Drosophila melanogaster: one gene and its partners. The protein of the gene in region 1 binds, or shares a complex with, the protein of each later gene. Each region holds a gene or a part of one and is shown in the gene's direction. Other genes may lie near its edges.

Region 1 (6,357 bases):
TGTAAAAAGGCTTTCGCACGGTACAGAACAATGGGAAAAGCGATTTTGGAAAACATTTTGGCAAATACTTCGCTCCTGGCCAGGCCAACACACTCGCTAACAGACAATAACACGTAACGCTGGTCCGTTCCGGGCCGCACTAGATCTGCAGGTTGCGCATGCCGCCATTGATGCCGCCCTGCTCCACATTCCAAATGACCAGCTGCCCGTCGACGCCCGAGGTGGACACCTTGGTGGCGCTCGCCTTGTCGCCGGCATACAGTCGCACGCTGGTGATGGCGTTCTGATGTATGGAATCGACCACCGTGTCCGTGTTCTCCGTGCGCATGTTGCGGTCCATCGACTGAAAGATTCTCATGGCGGTAATGCCGCTCGACTCCTTCTTCTGCGACTTATCGAGCTTGCCGCTCAGCACCAGCTTTCCATCGGCAGTCAGACTGTAGAGCAGTGGCACACAGCTATAGCCGGCCACCACGACGGACGTGGGCGAGACCCATTCGCATGACAGGAAGGGCAGATAGCCGGTGCGGCATCGAATGACCGTATTGCCATTGGTAGCGTCCGCGATGCTCACGCAGCTGTCGTGGCCCACCCAGCAGACCTTGTTACCGTCGCTGGAGAAGCTCACGCTGTTAATCCAGCCGCCACCCGAGGTCTGCGAGTTGCGGAACTCGGCCATTAGCTGGCCAAGGGGCTTGCGATTGCCCCACGGCGTCGGCGTCGGTGGCTCCTCGATGTCCTTGATGAAGGCCGAGAAAACGCGCACCTTGTAGTCCGTGGAGCCGGCCAGCAGCAGAACGTTGTTCGGATGCCAGTCCAGCGAAGTGACCGTAGAGCGGATCGGCTTCTTGATGTGCTTCGACACCCACCAGTCGTTCTCCGACTCGAAATAGCACACGGATATGAGTCGGGCGCCCGAACCCACAGCGAACTTGTTCTCCGCCGGCGACCACTTGACGCAGGTTGCCGCCCGATTGATGCGCAGCAGCACCAACGCCGGCTTCCACTTGCCATCGTCGCCCTGCGTCCACACATAGGCATTACGGTCGGCGGCACAGCTCACAATCCGATTGGTGTTCTTGGCCCAGTCGATGCCCATGACGCGCAGATCGTGCTGGTTGAGCACGTCCGCCAGCTTCCAGTCGCTGCCCTCCCGGCTGTATATGTGGATCTCATGGTTGTTGGGCGATAAGGCAATCTCTGCGAATTTTTGGGAGTGGGTGGTGGTGAGTCACACTGTGCCGGATGAGTAATTTGGGTCGCACTTACGGGTTCGATCCTTGTTCCATGCGTGGCAGGTGATGGAGGCCAGCGAGGTGCCAAAGGTGTATGTCTCGGCCATCGTGGGTGGCTAAATGCGCTCGGAATGTGCAGTGTTCGCTCGTCCAAATCCAACCACACGCGTAGTTTCTTCGGTTCGGTTCGCCGGATTTTCGGATTTTGGATATCGCTGTGTAGCAATTGGGCGTTGTTTCCGCTGGATTTTAGCTTCGCTCTCGTTTTAATCGCGGACTCTGGGCCGTCAACACGATTAAGCTGGCGTTGCTGGGATGGATTCTGGCTTTGCCTGGGCCGGAAGAGTAGAGCGTTGTGGAAAAAACTCTTTGGAAAAGTAATGCACAAAATTAATCACCCGAAATTAGAGCTGGAACAAAAATCGATGGCCCTCAATACTATCGTTATTTCGTTATATCGATATTTTTCGATTGTTTGAAAAATGCTAAGGTACCAGTGCTGTTACGCACGTTCGGTATATACCAGAGGGAATAATTTGGCGCCATTTCAATGGTCACACTAAACAGAAACCATTTCTTGTAAACAAATTTTTAATAACTGGCTGGCTCGTAATTTATTTTTGTTATTTTATAAACCGAGGAAGTATTTTCCCTTTTGAAAGCCCGTTTAAATAACACCACTTCGCCTGTGGGTAGCTGAGGAAACTTAAAAGCAGACGACAGCTATGGAAGCCATCTGCTCCTCCTTGGAGCCGCTGTTTCCCTGTCGGGAGGCGGCCATTGAAACGCTGGGCGAGCTGATAGGAGATTCGAGTGAGACATATCCCTCGGCAATTTACCTATTCGGACACAGTGGAACCGGCAAAACAGCTCTGACCAGAGCTTTCCTCAAAGAATGTGGAAAACGGCAAAATGTCCGCACAGCGCATTTAAATGCCATCGAATGCTACACCACCAAGATAATGCTGGAGATCCTGTTAGACTCGCTGGCACCCGATCAAGGTGATGCGCTGAAGGTCGACAACATGCTGGACTTTGTGGAGCAGCTGCGTCGGCAGGCCGCTACACGCGTGGAGGATCAGGGATTTCTCATAGCCGTGGATAACGCGGAAAGGCTGCGCGACATGGATGCCAATGTGTTGCCCGTTCTTCTCCGACTGCAGGAGCTGACCAACCTGAATCTGTGCGTTATTCTGCTCTCCCAGCTGCCCTTTGAGAAGTTCTACAACAAGACCGGACTTAGTGAAATCGTCTGCCTGCACTTGGCGCAGTACAACAAGGCGGAGACACAGCGCATCCTGGGATCTGACTTTCAGCAGGTGCGAAATCAACTGCTGGAACAGTTCGCCCAGGATAAGAAGCGTCTGGAGATTTGCCAGGAAGCCGTAACTGAAGACTTCTACAACAACTATCTGAATCTCTTTCTGAGCGTCTTTTACAAAGCCTGTCGCGATGTTCCAGAGCTCCAGCTGACCGCCAGGAAGTGTCTGTCCACATACTTGGAGCCTGTACTCGACGGCACTGTGGATGCCACGGACATCTCCCGGCTTTGGCGGCATATAGCTGGACCACTGCGTTCCGCCTTAACCCAGATTTATATGCGAATTGAAAAACCCGCGGAAGAAGTTGAAGATTTCACCGCCATAGAAGATCAGAGCGTTCGCAAGCTGGCGCAGTCGCTGGAGCTGCCCTACTATGCCAAATTTCTGTTGATCGCTGCCTTCTTAGCCAGCCACAATGCCGCCAAGCAGGACAAGCGATTGTTCGTCAAGCACCATGGAAAACAGCGAAAGCGGATGCAGACGGTCAACGCCAGAGCCAAGGTGGGTTATTCAATTTTTCGATGACTCCATTTGCTTATTTTAATACCTTTTAGACCACGGAGAAAATGTCCACCACTTTGGGACCCAAATCCTTTAGCATCGATCGTTTGCTGGCCATTTTCTACGCCATTCTAGAGGAGAAAGTCGGTCTGACCTGCAACCTTCTCTCCCAGATCTCAACTTTGGTGCACCTCAATCTACTAAGCTTCGTCTCCGGCGAACAAAACATAATGGAAGGTTCCGCTAGGCTGCAGTGCACCATTGGCTTGGAGTTTGTCCTGCAGATTGGCAAGGTGGTGGGCTTTAATGTCCGCCAATATCTCTGCGACTTTATGTAGCCCCTGGTTGTTTTTTTTAGTTTTTAAATATATTTAATAAATAGTCCGGTACATCGCTTATGTGTATGGTCTCCGCCAGCCTTGTGTCCCGGCTGCGCAACTGCATCAGTCCGTTTCTTAGCGTTTGCTCGTTTATAACAAGTGTATAAGGTATGCCGAGCATATCCGTTTCCAGCAAGTGCTCTGCTAAATGAGAAGCGTTCTTCGTCGTACGAATTCCATCCCCTTCAGAAAGTCTAAGACCGGCGTGGTTGAGAACATGTTTCAGATGCTGACAAAGATCAGACAAGTCAGCAGATAGCTCGGAATCACTTTCCACACAGGCAATTCCACATTGATATGGCGCCAGAACGCGGTGTAAGAGCAGGGATTGCGAGTCCCGGCCATGATCACAGCCATCCAGAAGCAGAGCTAAAGGATAATAATATAGAAAGATTTTCAAAGATAGTTATGATGACCACTTACCGCAGGTGGTAGTTTCCAGCTCTATCACAGACCTTATGACAGTCGGTTGCACAATTTCACCCGTTCGCGCATCGGGCAGCCGGAAGTCTTTGTCGTCCACTATTCTCACCAGGCTCAGTTGCTCCACGGTCACTTCTCCTGCATCACCGTAGCTCGTGCGGATATCGATGGCTTGATAGTCGTTGGGATTGAGATCCTCAGCCAAATCGCAAGGTACGATGCGGTAGCGACTGGGATTCGAGGAAAGACGCATCCACCAGATCTTGCTCTCACGCTGCATGTTGTAGAAGTGCTCCAGTGCGCGATGTGGTTCCACTAGGAAGTCCGTGGTTAAATGTAGCGTAGGACCCTTTATCCCAAATAGGGAATTGCTAGTGGGACCAGAACAAGTGCTTTGATGTTTCAGAAGAGTGGGACATTTGGCCTTTCGAGGATGATCTTTGACGAGTTTTTGGAAATTGTTACGGAATTGCTGGCTTTGTGGAAAGGAAAAACGCTGGATGTTGACTGGATTTATGGGTTCTTTCGTGGCGCCCAGGTGCGCAGCCAAGGGACGTAGTCGTGTCCAATGCTGTTGCAACAGTTTGGCGTATTCCCTTCCATGACTCAGTAGCTCCAGTTTATTGTCTTCCACGGTGCGAAAGAAGCCAGCGGAAGCCAGGGACTTAAAGCATCGTTGTATGCGACTCATTGCTCCAGCGGAATGTTGCCCGGCGGCGAAACGAAGTAGTCCTCGTCCGTCACCTTGGCGTTCCGGAGCACCTCCGCCCGGCAATCGCCTTCGGTCACCTGGTCGTTGCGTAACTGGAGCTGCTGATGCTCCAGGACCGTGTACAGTGGACGCACGTGCTCCGTGTTGATATGGGCAATCTTGTCCGCGAACTGTATGCTGCTCTTTAGCGTGGCCAGCGCTCGTTCGCTATCCAGATCCACCAGCGACAGCCGCTCCAGCAACTGGATGGTTTTCGTGTCGATCTGGATTTCGGAGGCGCTGGTGTCGGGAAACTTCGAGTCCACTGGTGTCTGTGGCACCTTGGTGGGATGCGTTAGCTGCTTGAAGTCCAATTTAGTGGCCTTTTCATTCGATTTTGTTGCAATTTTGCAGTAAAAACGGCTGCTGAACAGACGCAACATTCTCACCAGCACAAAATCAGAGGTGGAACTGAGTTTCGGAACAATCAGCTAAATGTTATCTGAAAAGTATTGTCCTTGCAAAAATGTTGATTTATGTGTTTATTCTATCTTAATTTAAAGCAATTTTCTTGTTATTGTGATCTAGTTTAATTAAACATGTCTCCATCACATTTGTTCAATTTAATATATCCAGCCCTTATTGTTAAAAATCTAGCTATAAATCCGAAACGAGAACAACAATCGATAACGGCACACTTATCGCCGGCTGTTATTGCTGCACTTCCATCGCTTCCTTTTCACTGAGCGGGTTATTTTTTTCGTGACCCTTTAATTTCATCAAAACAAAACCGCAATGCCGTACGCCAACCAGCCGTCCGTGCAGATAACCGAGCTGACGGACGACAACGTAAAGTTCGTCCTGGAGGACACGGAACTGAGTGTGGCCAACAGCCTGCGGCGAGTGTTCATCGCGGAGACGCCGACGCTGGCCATCGACTGGGTGCAACTGGAAGCCAACTCTACGGTGCTCTCGGATGAGTTTTTAGCCCACCGGATCGGTCTGATACCGCTGATCTCCGACGACGTCGTGGAGCGGCTGCAGTACACGCGTGACTGTATCTGCCTGGACTTCTGCCCCGAATGCAGCGTGGAGTTCACCCTGGACGTAAAGTGCAGCGAGGAACAGACGCGCCACGTGACCACCGCCGATCTCAAGTCGAGCAATGCCAAGGTCCTGCCGGTGACGTCCCGCAACCAGGGTGAGGAGGACAACGAGTACGGCGAGAGCAACGATGAGATCCTCATAATTAAGCTGCGCAAGGGGCAGGAGCTGAAGCTGCGCGCCTACGCCAAGAAGGGATTTGGCAAGGAGCACGCCAAGTGGAATCCTACCGCAGGCGTGTGCTTCGAGTATGATCCGGACAACTCCATGCGACACACTCTGTATCCCAAACCTGATGAGTGGCCAAAGAGCGAGCACACCGAACTGGAGGACGACCAGTACGAGGCGCCCTACAACTGGGAAGCCAAGCCAAACAAGTTCTTCTTCAACGTCGAATCCGCCGGTGCCCTTAAGCCTGAGAACATTGTGGTCATGGGTGTGCAGGTGCTGAAGAACAAGCTGTCAAACCTGCAGACGCAACTCAGCCACGAGTCCCAAAACGATGCATTGGCCGTTTGATTTACATATAACAAGTTTATTTTAAGTTTATAAAAGATGTTCCGCCTAATCCTTGAACAAGCTGTCTATGTTAATGCCCACGTTCGCTTCCTTTTTTCCCTTGGGAGCAGGTGGTGCTGGTGACGACGTGATTTGCTGGCTCACCACAGCCTCCTTGAAGTCGCTCAGCAGCTGGGACTTGG
Region 2 (6,439 bases), on another chromosome or scaffold:
GGCCTGCTTTTTCGACTGTCACCACTGCTCAGTCTTGAGCACCGCCAAAATCAGAGGCTGTCCGTCCGTTGGATTGGGAGGAGTATGAGTCAACAGAAATAAGGTGATGGTCTCGAAAAGTTCGCATCGATGCGATGCTGATGGGAAAATCGGGTGAACAATGAGAGCCGAGAAAGGCGCACAAAGCTCTCCTCTGGAGAGCCGCATCAAGATATGGAAGCATATACTGGAGTCGGGGTAAGTACTGATCCGGCCATCATTATGGCTTTCGATAGCAATTATCCGCTACCGTTTAATTGCGCGCTTGGCGATTCTGTGGGCTGCTGATGGCTGATTTTTCACACGCACTTGCCGCTGCCCACCTGACGATCCACCTCCCCTTCCCCGCACATTGGGCCGATTGAACCACCACCCACTCTGTGAATGCTGTCATGTGTCTAATGAGTCGCTGGCCCAGTTCGCAAGTTGGCCCAAAGTTAGCGTCCTTTGTGTAATTTGCACACTTGCATGGGCATTTGCATTTCCTATTTTCCCCATTTCACAGTTCACATTTCCACTTGCCACTTTCGCATTTCCATCTACCACGCACTCCGATAGACGGATGGGCTCGCCGGAAACTTTGAGGGTAATTTGCATATGGAACTTTTAAATCATACTGCTCGAAGTTGGCCCACGACACCTGGGCTTACGTCTGCAATCGCAGGAGGAGCAGCTGCGTCGATGGACACATTTATCAAGGAACTCGCAGTGCGGCGTGCCCCGAAATAACTATATTTTCGCAAACAGTATCCCAGATTATATTTCACAATTGTAAATTTATCAATCAGTTATCAGGCGAAGTGACTGTCCTAAACGAAATCCTTAAGATTCGCATGGTATCTATAATTAATTCACTGAGCATAATATTTCCCAGTTTATGGGCGCCATAAAGCAGTTTCCGAGATCCCGAACAAGCGAGGCAAGTCATCTCATGGAGTGGACAGACGCGATCACTTAATTACCTGTGTGAACTTTTCAACTGCGCCCCAGTAGGAGAAGGTACAGTGAGCACTCGCTACGGCGGCGAGGCGGGCGGGGCAAGCAGTTGCAGGTGGGACTGACGTTTTCACCTTGTTAATTATGCGCACGGTCATGCTAAAATCGCGTAATGAGTGACGGCCATTGAGAGTTGCATTGTCAGCAGAGAATGATAGTTTAATCGTGAGGGGTTCTGGCGAGGATTGGGGAGCAGAGCGGGCCGGCTGGTCACAGGGTGTCCTAGCACATGTACAGCTTGGAGGGCTTCATTCGGCCGTACTCCCCGTTCTCGGTGACCGCAACTTTGAGGCCCGTAATGCCGTCTTGCTCCAGCATCTTCAGATCCTCCAAACCTTCCGCAACCTCCTGGGCGGTAACCACGAACTTCTTTGCCAGGCGCCTGCGGTTGGCGTACTTGAGGAAGTGGCCGTCGCCGTACCGCTGGCGACTCGTCAGATAGATCTGGTCAATCCGCTGATAATGGCAGCACTGCATCTTAGGGTACCACGCGAAGGTCTCCTGCCAGTGCCTCGTCGTCCTTTCCATGGCATGACTGAAGGCGAGCTGGTAGCGCAGCTGCTCCGTGGTCACTATGTCCGCCGGCATCTTGTCAGGGGTGTGGGGTTGTGTTTACTTTACTTCGTGTCCTTCTGGTTGTGGAGTGGATTGATATATGTGTCCGAAATGTGTGAAGTTTGTGGCTGGCCCACCTGATTGGCAGCTGAGTTGCCAGTCCCGAGTGCCAATCCCGTTTTCTGTGTGCTCCCTAATCGCATTAGCAGCCACTTGACAGACGACAGGTGCAGTGCATCCAGGTCACTGCCAGCCACCTGTGCAGAAACTCTGCACATAATTGTTAACGCTTACGAACTGGCCTAGTCTGAAACCTATGTACATGTTTAAGTTAACTTTCGTCACTACACTATATTTATTTTCGTAAATCTCAGTAATGTGACAAATACATCACATACAGACCCACTTAGACTTACTATATTTACTATATTGGTCCTGCTGACCCCCATCCAATACTAAAACGGCATAACACCTTACCAATATTTCTGCTTACGGGTTGAAGAGCCTGGATATTACTGGATTTGACTGTTTAGCTCTTGGTAAAGTATAGGATGACATCGGTGCGCGGAATGCCCGCGACCATCCATGTGCTGTTCATCATGTATCTGCCATCGGGGATGATCGACTGGACCAGCTTGTTCAGATGCTGCACGGGAAGCTTGTCGAGCACGATGTCGTGCTGTGGGTGGGTGGGTGAGAAAGGCGAAGGTTATGCGGCATGAACATGGCAACGCTCACTCACGTCGTAGGGGCAGGTGTGGTTCAGGTTCGAGTAGGGGCCGAAGGTCTGGTAGACCCAGTTGGCGATCACGTGCTTGCGGTCGCGCATGAACTTGCAGGAGTCCACCTTGAAATCAAAGTTGTACAGGACTCGCCTGTTCTCGCGCATCCTCAGCTGGAATCTGGTCTGGAAGATGGTCGGGTGGTGTGAGACCGACACAGTTCTATACTCTTACCTCGCAGTTGTCGACGGGCAGGCGGAACATCTTTGTTTTTAGCGAAAGGTACTTGTAGGTGCGGTTCACGGACTTCAAGTAACAGTACTCAAAGTCCATAAACATCCTGTCGCGCACGAGGCAGACTACATTATTGAATTCGAAGTGTCCTCGGATCTTTGGATATCAATTATTCTATAGTGCCATCTATTAGCCATACGCATTCGATTCTTACTGCCATCGGAGACATAAAAATCAGCAGAAAAGTCCACAATCCGCTCATTCCTAAAGAGGTCTGGATCACAATAACCACAATACCGAGTGCCAAAAGCTGAAGCATTCCAAAAGTTATTAATTGTGATTACTCGATCCATTGCTGTTATGAAATTGCCAGCCGATATTAAATAATCTCTGAGAATCCATTGAGTGTTTAATAACTTATTTTAATGGACATTTAAAATACACAGCATTCCAAATAAACCTATTCCAGCAAATTGACCCTCAAAATGCCAACGACTATGCGATTAATAAAGAAATTTGTTCATATTTTTAAAGATGTTTATATGTATAATTGATTGTTATTTATAGAGTTACTATTGTACATATTCCTCAATCGTAGGTCCATTTTGTATGAACTAAAATGTTGATATTTCAAAATGTGCTAAAGCCGCAGAAATTAGATCGTATTGGTTTGTGGCACGAATATATTTTTCAGGCGGCTTAAGGCAACACTGAGTAGTATCAGAGTTCCAAACCACCGTACATTAAATGAACCAATATCGGTTTTGTTCCATCCCCAATGCATTGTTGACGTTTTTTGGCGCGACTTAATTACTGGCAGAAATCCAAACTATCTGTGCGTCCATTTAACTAATAAATAAGGAGGAATAAAGGAGTTCCGATCCGAGAGCGAAAATGCCGGAGGCGGATAGGGAGCTGGTCAGCATCAGGCGCTTCCTGAAGGAGCGCCTCCAGCGAGACTACACCACCTTGAGGGGCTACGCAAAGGAGCGGTCCAATGTGCGCCTATTGCTGCAACGCACAGCTGAAATGGGGGAATCCAACTCCTTGCTGCTCCTTGGGCCGCGGGGATCCGGAAAGACAACGGTATGAGTGCAGGCCTTACCGGGAAACCAATCCAGTAATCTATGCTTTCAAATTCTTTAGCTCATCAACTCCGTGCTGGCCGATTTGCTGCCCAATAAATCGTTCGGGGAAAACACTCTCATCGTCCACCTGGACGGTAATCTGCACACGGACGACCGAGTGGCCCTGAAGTCCATCACTGTGCAGATGCAGCTGGAGAACGCTGCGGATGGGAAAGTGTTCGGATCGTTCGCCGAGAACCTCGCCTTCCTGCTGCAATGCCTCAAGGCGGGTGGCAAGCATTCCAAGAGCGTGATCTTTATTCTCGAGGAGTTCGACCTCTTCTGTGCTCACCACAACCAGACCCTGCTCTACAACCTCTTCGACGTCTCCCAGTCAGCCCAGGCGCCCATCTGTGTACTTGGCGTTACCTGTCGCCTCGACGTGATCGAGCTGCTGGAGAAGCGGGTCAAGTCGCGTTTCTCGCACCGGCAGGTCTTTCTCTTTCCCAGCTTGCGGCGCTTTGAGGATTACGTTGACCTGTGCAGGGATCTACTGTCCCTCCCGACCGGCAATTCACTGTTGCTGGCGGCGGAGAAAATCTATAACCTACAAAACATCCAGTCGGGGGCACTTTACTTCTCCCGCAACCATTTTGACCCCGGGGAGTACGGCTTTTCGCCCAGACTACGCGATGCCTGGAACAAGCAAATATGCAAAGTCCTGGCCACTCAGCAGGCAAGAAGCACCCTCCAAGCGCTCCATGACTTCGACATTAGCGAGGCCTATCTCAAGAACTTCCTATTCCGCCTGGTGGCACATCTCCGACCGCAATCTCCCCACATCACAGCCGAAAAAATGGCTGCAGTGGGATCACAGTTTGAGGGCGACGACAAGATAGAGCTGCTTTGCGGGCTCTCAGTCCTAGAGCTGTGCCTGATCATCGCCATCAAGCACCATTCGCAGATTTACGATCGCGATTCCTTCAACTTCGAGATCATTTACGCGCGCTTTTCCAAGTTTGCCAAAGTGTCCACCACAATGCAGGCCGTGGAGCGGTCCATTGTCCTGAAGGCCTTCGAGCATTTACGCATCGCAGAGCTGATCATGCCGCTCACCGGTGGAGCTGGAGGGGGCGTAGGTAAGGTGCAGAAAGAGTTTGAGATGCATAAGCTGGCGCTGACATACAGCCAGATTCACCACTGTATGCAGCGATACCAGGCCCTTCCCACAGAGGTTGCTCAGTGGGCGCAAAGCTCTCTGATTTAGCAGCAGATCAGAAATACTTTGTATATTTATTTATTTAAAAAAAATTGTACCGAATCATTTAGTTGGTAAAGCCCTGTTTTGGGAAAATAAACTAATTTTAATTTATAAAACGTATATAAGAGAAAAGACAAGCATTTACATACGCAAGTGGTATGTACTATAAAATTTAGTTCTTATACAAATGTAAGTAATGTAATGTGTATGTATGCACTTAATTATGGCCAGGCATTTAGGTCAGGTTAGTTCAGTTTTATCTGCTTTGCACTTTCCGATCGATAATGCTAATTCCTGGAGTCACCCGCATTTCTATTCCACGCAAGATGCGGGTGGATCTCGCTATATAAAGGCCACCAATTGTGGAGCAGGAGTCAGGTGAAGCTTCAGTCGCATCAGCATGAGAATCATAACAGTCCTGTCTGTTTCGCTCTTGGTGGGTCTTGTGGCCATAAGCCAGGCAGACGACAGTAGTCCAGGATTCTTCCTAAAGATCACCAAGAACGTACCGCGGCTGGGCAAGCGAGGCGAGAACTTTGCCATAAAGAACCTAAAGACCATTCCTCGCATAGGACGCAGTGAGCACGTAAGTTATACCCATGGGCTTTCTTAAAGGATATTTTTAAACCATGAACTGTTTTCAGAGCTCTGTTACTCCTCTGCTGGCGTGGCTATGGGATTTGGAAACGAGTCCAAGCAAGCGGCGCTTACCCGCAGGGGAATCCCCAGCGAAGGAGCAGGAACTTAACGTGGTGCAGCCCGTCAACTCGAATACGCTCCTTGAGCTGCTTGACAACAACGCTATTCCCAGCGAGCAGGTGAAGTTCGTCCACTGGAAGGATTTCGATCGTGCCCTCCAGGCAGATGCCGATCTGTACAGCAAGGTTATCCAGCTGGGACGCCGTCCGGACCAGCACCTCAAGCAGACTCTCAGCTTTGGCAGCTTCGTTCCCATCTTCGGCGACGAGCAGAATCCGGACTTTATGATGTACAAAAACAACGAGGATCAGGAACTTTACGGCGGGGGAAATCGCTACGATCGCCAATTCCTCAAGTACAACATCCTGTGAGATGTGGAGTATTCGATTTGAATACGGACAAAGGAATATGACATTATAGAAATACATGTAACTTACCAACACTGCTAGCTAGTGTGTTTCAAATATATCCGGAACCTTGAAAATGGTCCAAGAAAAAATTTAAATATCTTTTCAGTTGAATAATCCCAGAAAACAAATGCCTCTTTTGGTAAGTCCAAAAAACACCTCTAAAAACGATAGTAAACATAATAAATTTCGGCCATATGGAAATGACTCATCCTCTATCGCACGATGGTCTGAATATAACGTAAGTCTTCTCCAAGTCTTCATTAGAATGCTTTCCCATAAGTACGTAAATACAAAACCAAATGGAAAGAGAAAATCGAAATCCGGATTGCAGTTGCTTGGATCAGAGCCTTTCTTTATCGCATTCCCGGATGGAATCGAATGGAATCAGCACATTAACGGTGCTTCTTTGACCAGGTCCACTCCACTGCAATCCGCACCTCAATCTGGCGAGTCAAC
Region 3 (8,607 bases), on another chromosome or scaffold:
CTTTTGGATCGTTGCCTACTCATGGTTCAAGATGATCGAAAGTCCTGATCGCGTGAATTAACACCTATTCACCCAATCATTGGGTGCAGCAATGTAATATATATAAATAAATTCGAAGTGGACACTTCAAATCGATTACACAATTTTATTTCAAATTGGTTTGTCCGCAGCAGTCGTAGGTATTTCCATAGGTGTTGGCTTTCGTCGGCGACCCCGTCGTTTCACTCTTAAAATGACCTCGTCCTTTATCTGTTCGTACTGGTAGTCTGTGTGGCCCAGGGAGCAGCGTTTGGTCACAGTTGAGCTCTCGTCCTGCAGACTGCAGGCACCCAAAGTTTCGTCGATGGTAACATCATGGGCTGGCACCTGCGGCGAACTATCCATGTTGACCTTTCTCTTCTTCACTGGGGTCTTCTCCGTGGCCGTCTTCTTAGGCGTCGCCATCGGCGACACAGTCTTCGATTTCGTTTGGGATCTTAGTGGATCAGCCTGTTTTGGAGTCTGGGTGAGTATTGTGATGAGGCTTTTTGGCGTCTGCGGCGCTCTATTCGACGTTGAGGTCACCACAGTTTCGTCCGGCGACTGCTGGTGCAATTGCTCTAGTGCCATCTCAATGGCATCTTCTGCGATCCGCAGTTTCGGATATGTGGATTCTGCGGTGCTCGCTGCATCCTGCTCCTTCTTCAGCATGTCAATGGCAGTTTCCAGGATAACCTCGTCATGTTCATCGCTGTGATCCAGTTTTGTTGAATCGGGCTTGGCGTATAATATAGTAGCAGACTTTATTGGAGTTTCGTCCGAGGTGGTAAAAATAGTTGGATCTTTCATCTCTGCGCAAATCTTTTGGTCCTGTGTGGCTAGGTTCTCTTGATTTAAAGCGGAATCTGTGACAGCTGCTGGCGCTTCACCATGGTTGTCGACCTTTACAGCAAAATGGTCGATATTCGCCATCTTGGGCAACCGAATATCCTCAATAATCCTTACTCCCAAGTCGGACTCGACCACGGAGTTAACTTGATCCATCGGTTCTCGGATCTCTGCTTCATCATTCTCATCATGCTGAGAACACACATCAGCTTGAGACGTCGTATTCTTTGATAATACTATGTTGTCGTTGCTTTCTTCTTTGCTAGGAGTTTCAACAGCAGTTTCAACTGCAAAAGGCTCTTTTTTGTCTAACTTTGCCTGTGTCTCTTCAGATTCTTTTCCATCCTTGAATTTGTCCAGGGGTTGCTCATCAGCTGGGCAATCTTCAGCTAAAATGTTTTTACATTTTTCAAGTACTACAACTTTGGGAATAGGCTCCTTATTTAAAAGTTGGTGGCCAGAGTCTTCTGTACGATCCTGTAAGATTACAGGATCTAACTTGATCTCATTTTTAGAAAAATCCGCCGATTCTGGGTTAATTAAGCTTAACCCCGGAATAATCTCATGTTTTGGAATACAAGGTTCAGCAATTAAACCATTTGTCGGTTGAGTAATATCCTTCGTCTCTACTTTTGATTCCTTTGAGGAATTTGCATTGGTTTCTAAAGCAGCATCCCTTCGGTTGGAAACGACTTTTTCAGCCGGTTGAGATTCAGTTACGAGTTTGACGGTCACGGGGACTGGGCTCTTGCTGCGTTGGTCATTTGTTTCATCGTCAGTAAGTGTGATGATGGCATTTGCTTTTTCTCTTGGCAATTGTATCTTGCTACAAAAATCAGATGGTGCTATCAACAAATGTAACTTATGTCCCTCTGCTTTACTGACCTGGGCGATGCGGATTGGCTTCGCCGTTTGGCGTGCCGGGAACTGCTTTCTTGATTCCTGTGATGATCTCGCCGGGAATTATGTTTTGGACTCCGGCTGCGATGTGGATCTGGACGACGAGCCTGTGCAGTAGATTTCCGATCGGTGGTCTTTGAGTGTTCCGGCCTGGGAGACTTGCTTCTTTGGACCGATTTCTTGGCGTCTTCTCTTGTCCTAGATTTCCAAGCATCATCCTTTGAGGATGACTTCTTGTCATCATCTTTATTGGTCGCCATCTTATTATCCTCCTTGGATTTTACGCCTCTTTCAACATCTTTTGATACGACTTTCGTTGTGTCATCTTTTTTGGTCATCATCTTCCTAGCATCATCCTTAGCGGCGTCCTTTGCAGCCGTTTTGAACGGATTTCTATTCGTTTCCGGATATTTCCTGACATCGATTGGTGTAGATTGAAATTCTTTCGGACGCTTACTTTCGGGTTCCCTTGCACCTGGTACGTCAAACGCCCGTGCTCGTTTTCGTCGGAAGCATACATCGTCCTTTCTGTTGAACAATGTGTTGTTTGTTAAGAAGCAGGGAGTCAATATGCTAACTTACTCGTTTCGCAGCTCGGCAATCAGTGTCTCTTTTCTCTTTACCTCCGCCTTAGCTGTGTCCAGTAGATTCTGTAGATTAACCTCCATGGTTTTTATCTTCTTGCCAAGTGCCTTATTCTCAACCTTTAGCGCTTCAATTTCGGCCAGTGCCTTTTCGTATTTGGCTTCCCATGCCTGTAGCTCCTTGGTATTCTGTGAGATGGTAAATGGGTAACTCTGCTGAAAGGACGTATTCCTGCACAACTTACACGATCTTCGGCCTTCTGAAAGTCGTCCAAATCATCGTAGATGTCCAGTTCAAGGGATCTGTCCATTTGGTCAGGCTTCTTTGAACCTGCAGGCTCTATATCGTACAAATCGTGATAGATATCCAAATCCATGGATTTATCCTTAACGTTGGACTTCATCCCGCCCGCGTCCTGGTCTTCCAAATCCATCAAGTCCTCCAGAGCTTCGGGCAGCACCAGTTCTCCGCCAGATTTCGTGGCATATGCAGGCGTTTCCATACCAATCGCTTACGTTTCTTCTTGGCTGCCCTTTAAACAAGGATACATAAAATGAATTGTTAGAGTTACTGTTTTTTAATGGAGCTACTTTATTGATTACCTGTTCAGTCATAAATTGATCAAAATTCGAAACACAAAAGAATTTCAATGTTCTTGATTTTTGTTTCAGGGAATAAAAGTTCCACTAAAGCTCAATGGTCACTGTCCTGAGCATTTCCTCCAAACTGGCGTGCAATTTGTTTCCCTGCCGTGTATTTGTATAAATGTAATTATTATTATTATTCTATTTAATATTGTTAGAAAATCCCGTGTTGCCGCCAATCGATAACAGAAGATGCAGTTGATTATCGGAAGCAACAGCTGACCGGCTGAAAATGTGGCAACCCTGATAGTGGATATCGATATCCAGCAGCAACATTTGGCGCCAAAACGAATATTTTAAAAATTTTATTATGCACTTACGTGTTTTCCCAAGAATATAATTTTAAAATCAATCTAGTTCCCATTTCGTATTACTGTACACTTAAATTCGTTAAAAAAAAACATCACAATACAAACAATAATACTCGAGAAACACTACACAATGGCAGACATTCCGGAAAAAAGTTCTTACTACAAGAAGGAAAGAAGAAAGTTCGCTCTGATCACTTACCTACTAACCGCGATATTCCTGATCCTTGCGCTGTTGCAATGGGCCACTTTCCGCTTTGTGTACGTATGTATTTTCACATTACTTCATCCTCACTGCACTTTTTCTTAATTTTCAGAAATTTTCTAAGGGAATTTTTTACTTCGTACCATTGGTTGAGCTGCCTTTTTTTTGGAATAGGCCTGATACTCCTCGTACTTTTCATATTTTTCGAGGTACTGCGCTTTAATAAAATGGTAAACTGGTTGTTTGCCTTTCTAATTGTAAGTCTACAATGTGAAACATAACCTGGGTGGCAGTATGAACTTATTCTTTCCAGTTTGAATGCATTGTACTGGGGATTGCACCGCTGGTTGCCCGCCACTACAAGTATCAGTTTCTCTTCAGCTTCCTTATATGGACCGTAGCATTGGCGCTTTTTATTGTCTGTGGTTCCTTTCTTCCGGTAAGAAGAGTCCACATGAAAGCCATTTGATTCAAATCTGAAGCTTCACATTTTTATTGTTATCCCCTTAAGCTGGATCTTACTTTGGATGTTGTGGTGCTATTTGTGCTTGCAGTGGTTTCCATTATCGGCGCCATATACTTCGTGATGCTCTACATCGTGGCTAATGTCGCATACTCGTTTATAATCGCCCGTTGCTTTATAGTGATCAGCATCTTGATGGTTAGTACTGAGTCATACATTTTTGAATTAGTTTCTGTCATTTAGTTTCCTCCTTACAGTTTGTCATGTATCACGCGCAGATTATAAACGGTGGAAGGTTCGCCGAGATGCGCACGAAGGACTACTTCCTGGCAGCCATCATACTGTTCCTCGATTTCCTGCTCCTCTATCTTTTCTCATTCCAAGTGGCCCCAAAATGGTCGGATCGTTGCGATGGCGAACGTTCAAAAAACTTGGTGCTGTTCACAGAAACTACGACGAATTCGTATCCACCAAAATGGTGGCGTACGAGCACGAAGGGTATGATTTCTTATTATTAGTTCATGTTAGATGAAATATTCAATTAATTTATACTTTTCACACTTGTTTTCAAAGATACCCCCTAAAGTCGTTAGCCAACACTGCCGCCCGTTTGGCGCCAAACACAACAGCCAGCTGATTTCATTTCGCGTTCCTACCGGTGAAGAAACTTTAATTGGCACAGAGCTGACCTAAACAAATAAATAAATAAACGCAACCCGGCGACTTAAAGACTCCACGACATCGGGCCGCAGTGCAAAGCCAGCGATGGATCCCACCATTTCAGTGTCCAAGGTGAGTGGCTTCGGCTTCCAAACTGGACATAGATGTTTAACTACTTATTTTTGTTGTCTGCAGGGCTGTTTTGTCTACAAAAATGGCGCTACGAGAGCAGGGAAAAAGGCGGCCAGCAAACGGAAGCGTCCTGCCGCAGAATCCAGTAGTCTTCTTGGCAAAGAGGTAGTGCAGCAGCCCTTCTATGAGGAATATCGCAAGGCCTGGAATCAGATAAACGATCACATTGCCGACCTGCAGCACCGCAGCTATGCCCGCACTCTGGAGCAACTGGTGGACTTTGTGGTGGGGCAGGCAGAGCGCGACACCCCGGACGAGGTGCTGCCCACCGCCGCCTTGCTAACGGGCATTAATCAGCCGGATCATCTCAGCCAGTTCACGGCACTTACCCAGCGACTCCATGCCCAACGTGCTGCAATGGTATGTGTGCTGCAGTCCAGGGATTGCGCCACTCTCAAGGCGGCCGTTGAGACATTGGTTTTCGGGCTCGTAGAAGATAATGCAGAAGTGGAGCAAATGGAAGACGAGGACGAGGACGAGGATGGTGCCGAACGGGATCGCAAGCGGCTACGTCGCTCGCAGTGCACCATGAAGCAGTTGAAGTCTTGGTACACGAACAATTTTGACTCGGAACAGAAGCGCCGCCAGCTGGTCGTCATCCTTCCCGACTTTGAGTGCTTTAACGCAAGCGTGCTGCAGGATCTTATTCTAATTTTGAGCGCTCACTGCGGCTCGCTTCCATTCGTCCTGGTCCTGGGAGTGGCCACGGCCATGACAGCTGTCCATGGGACACTACCATACCACGTCAGCAGCAAGATTCGTCTAAGGGTGTTCCAGACTCAAGCTGCTCCCACGGGCCTTAATGAGGTAATATTCCTTAACTCTGTGCTAGTTTATGTACTAATCGGTTTTCTAACAACCTTTAGGTGCTGGATAAAGTTCTGCTGTCGCCCAAGTACGCTTTCCACCTGTCGGGAAAGACATTCAAGTTCCTGACGCACATCTTCCTATACTACGACTTCTCCATCCACGGCTTTATTCAGGGCTTCAAGTACTGCCTGATGGAACACTTCTTTGGTGGGAATGCCTTTGCTCTTTGCACAGACTACAGCAAAGCATTGGGACGCATAAAGCAGCTGACCCACGAGGATATGGAAACCATCAGAAGGCTCCCATCGTTTCGTCCGTACGTCGAGCAGATCAATGATTGCAAACGCATCATAGCCGTGCTCACGGACGATGACTACCTAAAGAAGAAACTGCCGCAGTTGCTGCGCGACTGCCTGCTCCACTTCCTGCTTTTCCGCTGCTCTCTGGAGTTCCTTACAGAGCTGGTTGGTGATTTGCCGCGCTGTCCGCTGGGAAAGCTACGCCGGGAACTGTACGTCAACTGTCTTAATCGTGCGATCATTTCGACGCCGGAGTACAAGGAGTGCCTGCAGATGCTAAGCTTTCTGTCCAAGGACGAATTTGTTGCTAAAGTGAATCGAGCCCTGGAAAGAACCGAACAGTTCCTGGTTGAAGAAATTGCTCCGCTGGAATTGGGCGAGGCCTGCACTGCTGTGCTGAGACCTAAGTTAGAAGCTATACGCCTTGCAGTGGACGAAGTGGTCAAGGCCACCATGGCGACAATTACAACGACATCGCCCAATGAAACCCGCCAGGCGACTGACCATTTGACTCCGGTGGCCTCGCGTCAAGAATTGAAAGATCAGCTCCTACAGCGTAGCAAGGAGGACAAGATGCGGCATCAGCTGAACACGCCCACCACCCAATTCGGACGAGCTCTACAAAAGACTCTGCAGCTTATCGAAACGCAGATTGTACAGGATCATCTCCGTGCGCTGCAGGATGCACCACCTATTCACGAACTTTTTGTGTTCAGCGACATTGCTACCGTGCGGCGAAACATAATTGGTGCTCCGCGGGCTGCACTGCACACTGCCCTGAATAATCCACATTTTTACATGCAGTGCAAGTGCTGCGAGCTACAAGATCAATCACTGCTGGTTGGCACACTGCCCGATCTCTCCGTGGTTTACAAGCTGCACCTGGAGTGCGGTCGCATGATCAACCTTTTCGACTGGCTGCAGGCCTTTCGATCTGTTGTGAGCGACAGCGACCACGAGGAAGTGGCCCAGGAACAAATCGATCCCCAGATCCAGTGAGTAAAAAAATGGATTTCTCTCTGTAATATCATCAATTTCATTTGGTTTTCCTTTCAACCAGGGCCCGATTCACGCGTGCCGTAGCCGAGTTGCAGTTTCTGGGGTACATTAAGATGTCGAAGCGCAAGACGGATCATGCCACTCGATTAACCTGGTAGCTCGCTCGGGCTATGAATAACCAAAATCCCTTAGGTATTTTTATCTTTTCTATTTATTTATATTGGGGCAAATTTCATGTGTGGGACGTTATGAATAAATAAAACATCAATCGATTTGTCTACTCTGTACGAAATGCATTAACTTTGTTTGCGAGTGAAGCGCGTTCTTGTATTTTTTAAGTAAAGCCCAGCAGCTGGCAAGGCAAGCGTACTAAATATCAATTACCAGTCTTCCCGACTAGCGGTTACCACGTTCCCTGTTCACATTAGTTTCAGAGTCTCGATGGCGGCAGCGATGCGTTCGATCTCTGCCCGCGACTCGCAGAGTTTTGTCTCGTTGGCCTCCTGCACCTCGGCGGGAACCTTAGTTGCGTAGTCGGCGGCCTGGATGGCCTGAGTTAGCTTGCCCACCGTCTGCACCAGCTGGTCGCTCTTCTTCTGCAGCTTGGCTATCTCCTTGTCCGCCTCCACGAGTCCCTTGAGCAGCAGGTGCACCTCGCACTGGCCCGTCACGGTGAGGATCGCACAGCCCTGCGGTGCGGGACTGTCAAAGACCACATTGGAGCAGTAGGAGATTGTGGCCAGATCGCTGGCGTAGCGTTTGAGTATTTCACTGGGCACCGAATCCGTGCATACTATATACACCTCGGTTTTAACCTTGTTGGGCAGATTATAGTCGGAACGGGCAGATCGGATGATTCGCGCCGCCTTCTGCACAAATTCAACGTCCGATTCTATCTTTGTGCTGCGCCAGGATGTATTGCCTAGTTATGAGGAAGTTAAATTTATTTGAATTCTATCATCATGAAGAAATCAAATGCGACTTACTGGGATAGCTAGCCACGCAAATGCTAGGAGCGGGATTTGCCCTCGGAAGCCGCTGGTAAAGTTCCTCCGTGATGAAAGGCATGAACGGGGAGAGTAAGCGCAGTCCATAATCTAGACATACGTAGAGCGTGCGCCTTGCGGCGGTCTGCTGCTCCTCGCTGCCGCTCTGGAAGATCGGCTTCAGACACTCCAAATACACGTCGCACAGATCGTAGAGCCAGAATGCGTAGCAGGCGCTGGTCGCTGCAGCAAAGTCGTACGACTCAAAGCCGGTGTTGCAAGCTTCTATGGCAGCTGCCAAGCGTGACAGGATCCAGGCGTCCATCTGGTTGATCGCTGCAGACGCACTTAGCTCCGTGTCAAACTTCTCAGAGCCGGTGAAGTACAGCAGGGCGAACTTGGTGGCGTTCCACAGCTTGTTGCAGAAGAAACGATATCCCAGAACGCGATTGATGTCCAGGTTGATGTCGCGCGCTTGCGTGATATAGGCGCACAGCGCGAATCGAAGTGCATCCGAGCCGCACTCGGGAATTCCCTGCGGATAATCCTGTTTCTGTCCAGCCTTAGCCTTTTCGATCTCCCGAGGATCCAGGTTGGAGCCCACAAGTTGAGCATGCAGTCCCTCGAGCGTAATGCCACGAATAACATCCATAGGATCGATAACATTTCCCAGGGACTTGGACATTTTG
Region 4 (7,118 bases), on another chromosome or scaffold:
AAGCGTTTAATGGGCAGAACGTGGGAAGCTGACTTTGTACTTGTCACGTCGGCAGGAAAAGGCGACTCCGGTGGAGAGGGCGGCAGTGGAGGCAGATCCAGCAGAAGTAGAGACTGTGGAGACACCTTCTGCTGTTTGTGAGTTACAACAGGCAATTGACTCGGAGTAGAAGCAGCCTTCGGTGGTGCAACTTCTGCTTTTTCCTGTACCGGTGTAAATATAAGAGGCAACATTTGGGTCGTCAAGGAGCGCGAATCGCCGGAGCTGAACAGCAGGTCCACGGTCGATGTAGTTGCATCTACCATGTTCAATTTTAGCAGTTCTTTTTGGGCGCAGAGCTTGTGCAGCATTTGAATGGCCGCATTGTTAACTGGCACAGCTGCATCCGGAATATTGCAGACATTCTGCAACTGTACACGCATCAGACATACGGGCAAATTCTCCAGGAAGCGACAGGAGCTGCGTATTTCCGCCAACTCCACCTTTTGGGTGGCACCAGTATCAACGTTCATTACTTCGAACAATCCACTATCCTTACTCAATATCTGTAAAATTCGAAAAGTTCATAGACTTTACTGATTGAAACCCTGCAACATAAATATCGACAAACCTCGCCCCGGAAGTGACCCATCTGCTTGGAGACAACGAGCACGATGCTGCCAACGGAAACATCACTAGATTTGGTAATGGTAGCGCACTTGTACTCCAGGCGCTTGAAAATTTCCGCATACTGCTTGGCGTCTGGAGTGCTGATGTATACCTCCTTAAAGCTGACCAAGTGGGAAATGAATACGATGGAATCATGGACGATGGGTTCACGCCAGTACTTGTGGCCTAAATATGAAATCTGACCCAAGAAAGTGATCAGACGGGCCATACATATCTGCTCGCCCTTGGAATTCAAGGCGGCATTCGCCGCGCGTAACTTTTCCTTGGGCGGCTTATTATCCAGCTTAAACTTGACCGTGAGTTCTGCACCTTGAGTCTCAAGCTCCTCGGGTACGGAGTCCTCCAGCTGAGCGGCAAACACTCGACTGGGCAGGCCAAGTAGTTCGCTGGGAATACGACTCAGATCGGTGGCTATGGACACTCTACCCTCGTCCATTTCGTAAACCAAATAGGTTGGCCTCGGTTTCATGATATGATCCAATAGGAAAGCTCGCCGATAACCATTTTTAGTGCGGGTGGCCGCAAAGAAGATGGATTTCTGCTCGGGGAAGGGCAGCGTGAATGGCTGTCTTGGCTTCTCGGCTATGCGGTTGTTTAAGTCTGCGTTGACATGGCCCATCACGTTGATCTGGAGTAGGGCCAGCTGCGGTTCGTTATGCTTTGGATTTGCCTTAAAGACCCGGATGACTTTGACTTCTGGATTAAGCTGCAGCATCTCCAAGGGCAAACTTAGTGGTATTATCATCTTGGGCTTTAGATGGACGTGATAAGCTCCGTCGCTGGTTTTGGTTCCCAACATACGGAGCGTCAAGTTCTTAATGTCCTGAACTCCAGTGTTCGTGGGCAATTGAACACGGAAAGCGAACGCCTTGCTTTCGGCCATCTTGGGCACAATGGTGTAGATATCCCGAAACGGTGTAGCTACTATCTGACCGTGGTCAATCATACGGACATTGGCTTCTTGCTTCTTTTGGCAAACCGTCAAAACATGACCGCGATGGACCTTGTCGCCCACACTGATGGCCACGAGGGTGTCCTCCCGCACTCCTTCCATACGAATCATCTTCTTATTCTGCATGCAGCGCTGCATGTTGACCGTCATTCGCTCAATGGCCTCCACATTCGCCACGTGCACCACCCAAATGGGTCCATCGTTCTCCATGAAAGTCACGCGGCACTTGAAAAACTCCATGCCCGACGGCAGCAAATGTTTGCGCCAGTTTTCCGATAGATCCGGCTTGTTCGGCACAGCAACTGTGGGCTCCACACATGGGATTGGCGATTTAGTGCGAGTTTTAGCCAGAGCAACTTGGTTCTCTACGCTCTGGATTGGATTCAACGCCGGTTGAAGAGGCCGGCACTCCACCAAGGGTCTGGAAACGCATTTGTATTGTATAAGAATTAAAAACCCCTAACTTAATGCACTGCTGCGCAACGGATTTACTAATTTAACTCACGGCATAATGATGCACACCTGCCTGTGCCTCTGCCAATCCAATTTCTGGCACTTTTCATTGCAGTACGGTTCTCCACACCGCTGGCACATCAATCTGGTCGGAGTGCCACAGACGACGCATGTCTTTTCCTCCGACTTTTCCATTTCTTCAATTCAAAGTAACAACGCAAGAACGTGTGAATGAAAGAACGGCGCGTTAAAGGAAACGCAGCAAAATGGCGCTAACAGAACTTTTAGCACGCGATGAAATACAAAGTGAAAATCTATTTACGCTGGACGAGAACTTTCTATGTTTTCGTTTTGAAAAAGGTGGAATCCTTTAGAATTTAAGTGCGCGATTCACAACTCACAAACATGCGATACGTTCACTAAACGCGTTTAAATTCGAAGCTCGCTGGGCACGCGCTTCAGTGCATTGAACGAACGTGGGAAGAAAGAGAACAGGACGATATCGATATCGGTTGGTTTTCGATTTACAGCGCACTGATGGAAGTAAACTTGATCGTTAATTAAAAAAGGAAAAATAAGGCTTACGAAGTTTTTAAACTTTAATTAAAACGACACAACATATGCTAAATATTCTACATATTCCAGTTACAATCAATTTCGCCAAGCCATTTTCATGGAAGTTGAATACTCTTTGAACCTGTTTGAATATATCTGAAAACGCAAATCTACTTTGTGTTATTATTTTGCCAATATAGGCAATATTATTTGAAAATTAACCGCAAGTCCATTGACGACCGCAATTCAGAATAAGAACGTAGCGTAATTTTCCCATCTTCAAATATTGTTTTTCCTAAACTTACCGATTTTAACACTTTTTAGTTTTAAAAACGTTTGTGGTTAATCCGCAAGGAATTTGTGACAGTGAAAAAATAACCGCTTTGTACGCGCACGTGTTGCCAACAAACACTTCAGCTTTTGTCAGTGACTGGATTCTAATTTAAATTTATCGATAACGTATGCAATTCTTATTCGAACAATATAGTTATTTCTAAAAACTGTGTCACGGAATTTCTTTTTGTAATTATTACCTATATAAATATATATTTATACAAATATTTATAACATTTGTGTTTTAATTGTCATGCCCCTTTAGTTTTTTTTACGCTAGAAACTTAGCTACTTCCTAGGTCGAGAGCTGGCCACACTCTTGGCATGTCTTAGTTATCGATAATTCCCGCCACTTCTGAGCATTGAGTATATTTTGCGAACTATTTGTTTACCAATTGAATATTTTGATAATCAGGGCCCCCAGTGAAGTGGCAAGCGTCATGAGTGCCAGCAACAAAGGCGGTTACAAGACGCCGCGGAAGGAGAACCTCATGTCCATTGAGAACCTCACCAATTCGGAGGAGGAATCCGAGGACTTGAACACGGCAATGGTTGGGAATGCAGTGGAATCTCAGCCCAAGGTCACCAGTCGGCGTTCCACCCGACGTCCAAGTCCCACCAAGAAATACCAGGCGTACCAGAAGGAAAGCAATGGAAAAGGCCAGGAAGAGCGAATTGTTGTGAACTATGTGGAAATGTCCGATGAACGGAGCAGCGATGCGGAGGATCAGGAAGAAGAAGAAAGCATCGAGGAGTCGGAAAATGCTGCCCGTCCCGCTGCCAAGGATCTGCATCTCATCCAATCCGAGTACAATGTGGCCGGCACCAGCATGTTTGGCTTCAATACGCCCAAGAAACGCGATGCCATGGCACTGGCCGCCCTAAATGCCACGCCCTGCACGCCCAAGACCCCAAAAACGCCGCGTTTGGGTGTCAAGACGCCGGATACGAAGCGCAAGAAGTCCATGGATCAGCCAAAGACTCCCGCCCATGTGCGCACCCGCGTCAAGAAGCGTGGGTAGCCTTTTTCTGCGTCCTTTTACCATTTTTTCCATTATTTATAAATTCATTATCACTTTCAGAGATTGCCAAAATAGTGGCCGACTCAGATGAGGATTTTTCTGGAGATGAAAGCGATTTCCGGCCCAGTGACGAGGAATCCTCCTCCAGCAGCAGTAGCAGCGATGCTGGCAACTCCTCTGACAACGACGCCGCCGATGATGAGCCCAAAACGCCCAGTAGAGCCCGCCGTGCCATTGTAGTCCCCGTTCTGCCGAAAACTCCATCGGCAGCCCGCCTGCGACAATCGGCGAGGGCGAAAAAATCGAATGAGTTTGTGCCCGAGAGCGATGGTTACTTTCACTCGCATGCCAGCAGCAAGATCCTCACTTCGGATCACACCTTGGATCGCCTAAAGAATCCTCGCCTGGCCGCCGATCGTGTTTTCAGTTTGCTGTCGGAAATCAAGACATCGGCGGAGCATGAGGGTTCTATTAATGCCATTATGGAGGAGTATCGATCGTACTTTCCCAAGTGGATGTGTATTCTGAACGAAGGCTTCAATATACTTCTATATGGATTGGGCTCCAAGCACCAGCTGCTGCAGTCATTCCATCGGGAAGTTTTGCATAAGCAAACGGTATTGGTGGTGAATGGCTTCTTTCCCAGTCTGACCATCAAGGATATGCTGGATAGCATCACAAGCGACATATTAGATGCGGGCATTAGTCCGGCTAATCCACATGAAGCAGTGGATATGATCGAGGAGGAGTTCGCACTGATACCGGAAACACATTTGTTCTTAATCGTCCATAATCTGGATGGAGCCATGCTTCGCAATGTGAAGGCACAGGCGATTCTTTCGCGCCTGGCGCGCATACCGAACATTCATCTACTGGCCTCCATTGATCACATAAATACCCCACTGTGTGAGTGCACCGATGCTTTGAGATCTTTATAGTGCGACAGCAAAACTAATTATTGTTTACGAATTTGCAGTGTGGGACCAGGGAAAGCTGTGCAGCTTCAACTTCTCGTGGTGGGACTGCACAACAATGCTGCCATATACGAACGAAACTGCGTTCGAGAACTCGCTGCTGGTGCAGAATTCCGGCGAATTGGCCCTCTCCTCGATGCGCAGTGTCTTCTCATCGCTAACGACCAATTCGCGTGGCATTTACATGCTGATTGTTAAGTATCAATTGAAGAACAAGGGCAATGCCACATACCAGGGCATGCCGTTCAGGGATCTCTATTCGAGTTGTCGCGAAGCATTTTTGGTCAGCTCAGATCTGGCACTGCGTGCCCAGCTCACCGAGTTCCTCGACCACAAGCTGGTCAAATCGAAACGGAGCGTTGATGGCTCCGAACAGCTAACCATTCCCATTGATGGCGCACTGCTGCAGCAGTTTCTCGAGGAGCAGGAGAAGAAATAGGCCATCGGCGTAATTTTAGAACATATTAATTTATTATCTAATATTGTTAAATACAATTACAATTTCGCTTTTTAAAAATGTTGTGTTGCTGTCACTTGTATTGCCCATGATGAGTGCGCAGTGTTTGTTTTCGCTCTTTTTTATTTTTTTGTCAATTTCTACACATTAAGATTGGCATGCATAAAATTTGTCGCTTTGCTCGAAGATACACATTCTAGGATGGCTAGTTTTTTTCCTCAGCTCCAGTTGCGAGCATATAGCAACACAAAACTTCACAAAGCACTGCAAGTGCTCGACGACTGCGGGGATGAGAGCGCATTTGGATACGATTTTAAGGATCAGAAGAGGCGAACTAAACATAGCTAAGCATGCCAAAAATGATAAGACTCACTACCGCCTGACCATTCCGTGCTCCTCATCCATTCCAAAGGCTAATATCGGTTACCTATTCACTATACAGACACGCACATACACAGATTAAAGCGTTGGACTTGTAACTAGTTAATTGTGCACTCGAAACGAAATGTAATTGCTGCGACTAAGGCTAGTTTATTTACACTTTCTTGATAGCAAATCACATGCGAAGTCAATCGGAAGTACACATACAATGGGGAATCGTTCATGGCTGGCTCCTATTAATATTATTTTGAGTTTATTGCAAAATTCTACCCCTTCCTGAATACCTGAATTGTACACACCGAGTTTGCGATCAGCATTTTTGCATATAAAAATGTCTTATCTCCTGCGCCGCACATTTACTTTTTCTTTAATAGTTAGATAATTGTTATCACGTTTACTTTGCTCGTCCTTTTTTTTAAGCTTCGTTTGTGGGAATGAATGGCAGAATGTGGTTCTGAATCAATCAGAAGAGAAACCACCCAAGAGAATCTCCCCTTTTACAAAATGAATCGATGCAAGAGTGTTGTTGGTTTTTCACTTTTATCGGCTTATTATACACAAATTGCTACTGCTTGCGTTTATTTCGACAATGCTTTGTTTGTTTGTTTTTATAGTTTTGTACAACAAATTAATTACATTTTGCGCTTAACAAAGAGAAACAGGCGTCTGATATTGAAATTTAGATACTTTTAGATACTTAAGAAAAGACGAGGGGAATCGAAAAACAAAAGTTCAGGCATGAATTCAGCGATGAAAAGTAAATTAAAGTTTAGAACTCGGGTAAACAATAAATTTTTACATTCTCCTCAATTTCATGGGGGAGTTCTTCGATTTTGGTGGGTGGTGGGTGCAATTAAACCTTGAATCTGAAAATTTTTTCCGAGTTTACATATACACAATATATAAATCAACTTCATTATCATATCCGTATCATTACTCATTTACTCGTTACTCATTAGTCATACTCATCGAATATACATCACAATCAAAGTGTACGCTTTGTAATTATACGCAGTAATCGGTAATTATAATAGTAATAATAGTAATCATAATAATAATAATAATAATAGTTACGCTTTCTCAGTGAATTTCTTTATTTCTGCTTGTATTTATGCCTTCGATTTTTACTTTTAGTTTTTACTTTACTTTAAATTTAATTTATTTTACTTTCCGTTTTGTTTTTTATGCTCTTTTTTTGTTTGCATTATTTTTTAGGTTTTTTTGTTTTTGTTGTTGTTGTTTCTTCTTTAATTGCTGCTTTTGTTTCAAGTTGTGTTTTGACTTAAGATTAAAATTAATTCATAATTATTACTCGTAAACAT

The links.
Region 2: the proteins of Orc5 (region 1) and Orc4 are in contact, whole or in part, in a crystal structure (PDB 4XGC), measured with the Drosophila melanogaster proteins. Residues at the interface, in NP_477132.1 of Drosophila melanogaster: Met1 (codon at 1,961), Glu2 (codon at 1,964), Glu20 (codon at 2,018), Glu24 (codon at 2,030), Leu25 (codon at 2,033), Asp28 (codon at 2,042), Ser30 (codon at 2,048), Glu31 (codon at 2,051), Thr32 (codon at 2,054), Tyr33 (codon at 2,057), Pro34 (codon at 2,060), Ser35 (codon at 2,063), Phe40 (codon at 2,078), Gly41 (codon at 2,081), His42 (codon at 2,084), Asn100 (codon at 2,258), Met101 (codon at 2,261), Leu102 (codon at 2,264), Val105 (codon at 2,273), Glu106 (codon at 2,276), Arg109 (codon at 2,285), Arg115 (codon at 2,303), Arg132 (codon at 2,354), Asn137 (codon at 2,369), Val141 (codon at 2,381), Arg144 (codon at 2,390), Gln146 (codon at 2,396), Leu148 (codon at 2,402), Asn150 (codon at 2,408), Leu151 (codon at 2,411); in NP_477320.1 of Drosophila melanogaster: Val9 (codon at 3,465), Arg12 (codon at 3,474), Arg13 (codon at 3,477), Lys16 (codon at 3,486), Glu17 (codon at 3,489), Gln20 (codon at 3,498), Arg21 (codon at 3,501), Tyr23 (codon at 3,507), Arg58 (codon at 3,612), Asp89 (codon at 3,765), Asn91 (codon at 3,771), Leu92 (codon at 3,774), His93 (codon at 3,777), Val98 (codon at 3,792), Ser102 (codon at 3,804), Glu147 (codon at 3,939), Tyr250 (codon at 4,248), Arg253 (codon at 4,257), Asn254 (codon at 4,260), Asp257 (codon at 4,269), Glu260 (codon at 4,278), Tyr261 (codon at 4,281), Ala299 (codon at 4,395), Tyr300 (codon at 4,398), Asn303 (codon at 4,407), Phe306 (codon at 4,416), Arg307 (codon at 4,419), Ala310 (codon at 4,428), His311 (codon at 4,431), Arg313 (codon at 4,437).
Region 3: the proteins of Orc5 (region 1) and Orc3 are in contact, whole or in part, in a crystal structure (PDB 4XGC), measured with the Drosophila melanogaster proteins. Residues at the interface, in NP_477132.1 of Drosophila melanogaster: Ile72 (codon at 2,174), Glu73 (codon at 2,177), Tyr75 (codon at 2,183), Ile79 (codon at 2,195), Glu82 (codon at 2,204), Asp86 (codon at 2,216), Asp94 (codon at 2,240), Arg130 (codon at 2,348), Tyr291 (codon at 2,831), Met292 (codon at 2,834), Arg293 (codon at 2,837), Ile294 (codon at 2,840), Glu295 (codon at 2,843), Leu319 (codon at 2,915), Glu320 (codon at 2,918), Leu321 (codon at 2,921), Pro322 (codon at 2,924), Tyr323 (codon at 2,927), Tyr324 (codon at 2,930), Ala325 (codon at 2,933), Asp383 (codon at 3,160), Leu386 (codon at 3,169), Ala387 (codon at 3,172), Tyr390 (codon at 3,181), Val397 (codon at 3,202), Leu399 (codon at 3,208), Thr400 (codon at 3,211), Cys401 (codon at 3,214), Asn402 (codon at 3,217), Leu403 (codon at 3,220); in NP_476904.1 of Drosophila melanogaster: Ile105 (codon at 5,113), Gln107 (codon at 5,119), Leu140 (codon at 5,218), Lys141 (codon at 5,221), Val144 (codon at 5,230), Cys183 (codon at 5,347), Thr184 (codon at 5,350), Met185 (codon at 5,353), Lys186 (codon at 5,356), Gln187 (codon at 5,359), Glu213 (codon at 5,437), Cys214 (codon at 5,440), Asp222 (codon at 5,464), Leu225 (codon at 5,473), Ile226 (codon at 5,476), His230 (codon at 5,488), Ala243 (codon at 5,527), Thr244 (codon at 5,530), His250 (codon at 5,548), Tyr255 (codon at 5,563), Ser258 (codon at 5,572), Ser259 (codon at 5,575), Arg262 (codon at 5,584), Leu263 (codon at 5,587), Ala270 (codon at 5,608), Pro272 (codon at 5,614), His302 (codon at 5,763), Ile303 (codon at 5,766), Leu305 (codon at 5,772), Tyr306 (codon at 5,775).
Region 4: the proteins of Orc5 (region 1) and Orc2 are in contact, whole or in part, in a crystal structure (PDB 4XGC), measured with the Drosophila melanogaster proteins. Residues at the interface, in NP_477132.1 of Drosophila melanogaster: Lys169 (codon at 2,465), Ile382 (codon at 3,157), Cys401 (codon at 3,214), Asn402 (codon at 3,217), Leu404 (codon at 3,223), Ser405 (codon at 3,226), Ile407 (codon at 3,232), Ser408 (codon at 3,235), Thr409 (codon at 3,238), His412 (codon at 3,247), Asn424 (codon at 3,283), Ile425 (codon at 3,286), Met426 (codon at 3,289), Glu427 (codon at 3,292); in NP_731873.1 of Drosophila melanogaster: Asp438 (codon at 4,782), Arg443 (codon at 4,797), His468 (codon at 4,872), Asn470 (codon at 4,878), Thr471 (codon at 4,881), Pro472 (codon at 4,884), Leu473 (codon at 4,887), Leu474 (codon at 4,890), Trp475 (codon at 4,963), Asp476 (codon at 4,966), Gln477 (codon at 4,969), Leu480 (codon at 4,978), Trp487 (codon at 4,999), Ser521 (codon at 5,101), Ser524 (codon at 5,110), Glu564 (codon at 5,230).

Annotation. Positions count from the first base shown.
Region 1 is NT_033779.5:13,828,077-13,834,433, forward strand, and holds Orc5 (origin recognition complex subunit 5), read left to right. Parts: upstream 1-1,760; 5' UTR 1,761-1,960; coding exon 1,961-3,058; intron 3,059-3,111; coding exon 3,112-3,396; 3' UTR 3,397-3,412; downstream 3,413-6,357. Other genes in the region: Arpc1 (Actin-related protein 2/3 complex, subunit 1), read right to left, coding at 140-1,200, 1,270-1,342; PolG2 (DNA polymerase gamma subunit 2), read right to left, coding at 3,413-3,807, 3,862-4,552; GatC (Glutamyl-tRNA amidotransferase, subunit C), read right to left, coding at 4,549-4,995; Polr2C (RNA polymerase II subunit C), read left to right, coding at 5,348-6,175; mRpS23 (mitochondrial ribosomal protein S23), read right to left, coding at 6,221-6,357. UniProt on the Drosophila melanogaster protein: Component of the origin recognition complex (ORC) that binds origins of replication. DNA-binding is ATP-dependent, however specific DNA sequences that define origins of replication have not been identified so far.
Region 2 is NT_033778.4:24,794,294-24,800,732, reverse strand, and holds Orc4 (origin recognition complex subunit 4), read left to right. Parts: upstream 1-3,318; 5' UTR 3,319-3,440; coding exon 3,441-3,632; intron 3,633-3,692; coding exon 3,693-4,880; 3' UTR 4,881-4,993; downstream 4,994-6,439. Other genes in the region: CG3611 (uncharacterized protein), read right to left, coding at 1,258-1,623; CG12849 (uncharacterized protein), read right to left, coding at 2,120-2,269, 2,333-2,497, 2,547-2,702, 2,761-2,808; ETH (ecdysis triggering hormone), read left to right, coding at 5,275-5,460, 5,519-5,944.
Region 3 is NT_033778.4:13,201,339-13,209,945, reverse strand, and holds Orc3 (origin recognition complex subunit 3), read left to right. Parts: upstream 1-3,398; 5' UTR 3,399-3,437; coding exon of another isoform or gene 3,438-3,565; intron 3,566-3,621; coding exon of another isoform or gene 3,622-3,766; intron 3,767-3,822; coding exon of another isoform or gene 3,823-3,948; intron 3,949-4,020; coding exon of another isoform or gene 4,021-4,170; intron 4,171-4,229; coding exon of another isoform or gene 4,230-4,470; intron 4,471-4,545; coding exon of another isoform or gene 4,546-4,556; 5' UTR 4,557-4,737; coding exon 4,738-4,764; intron 4,765-4,827; coding exon 4,828-5,631; intron 5,632-5,690; coding exon 5,691-6,928; intron 6,929-6,993; coding exon 6,994-7,090; 3' UTR 7,091-7,218; downstream 7,219-8,607. Other genes in the region: CG34312 (uncharacterized protein), read left to right, coding at 1-61; FLASH (FLICE-associated huge protein), read right to left, coding at 151-1,693, 1,753-2,295, 2,350-2,540, 2,597-2,854; CG34315 (uncharacterized protein), read left to right, coding at 3,438-3,565, 3,622-3,766, 3,823-3,948, 4,021-4,170, 4,230-4,470, 4,546-4,556; ValRS (Valyl-tRNA synthetase), read right to left, coding at 7,352-7,854, 7,919-8,607.
Region 4 is NT_033777.3:13,961,606-13,968,723, forward strand, and holds Orc2 (origin recognition complex subunit 2), read left to right. Parts: upstream 1-3,279; 5' UTR 3,280-3,328; intron 3,329-3,386; 5' UTR 3,387-3,402; coding exon 3,403-3,976; intron 3,977-4,044; coding exon 4,045-4,890; intron 4,891-4,960; coding exon 4,961-5,397; 3' UTR 5,398-5,470; downstream 5,471-7,118. Other genes in the region: Kots (kotsubu), read right to left, coding at 1-545, 611-2,042, 2,127-2,269. UniProt on the Drosophila melanogaster protein: Component of the origin recognition complex (ORC) that binds origins of replication. DNA-binding is ATP-dependent, however specific DNA sequences that define origins of replication have not been identified so far.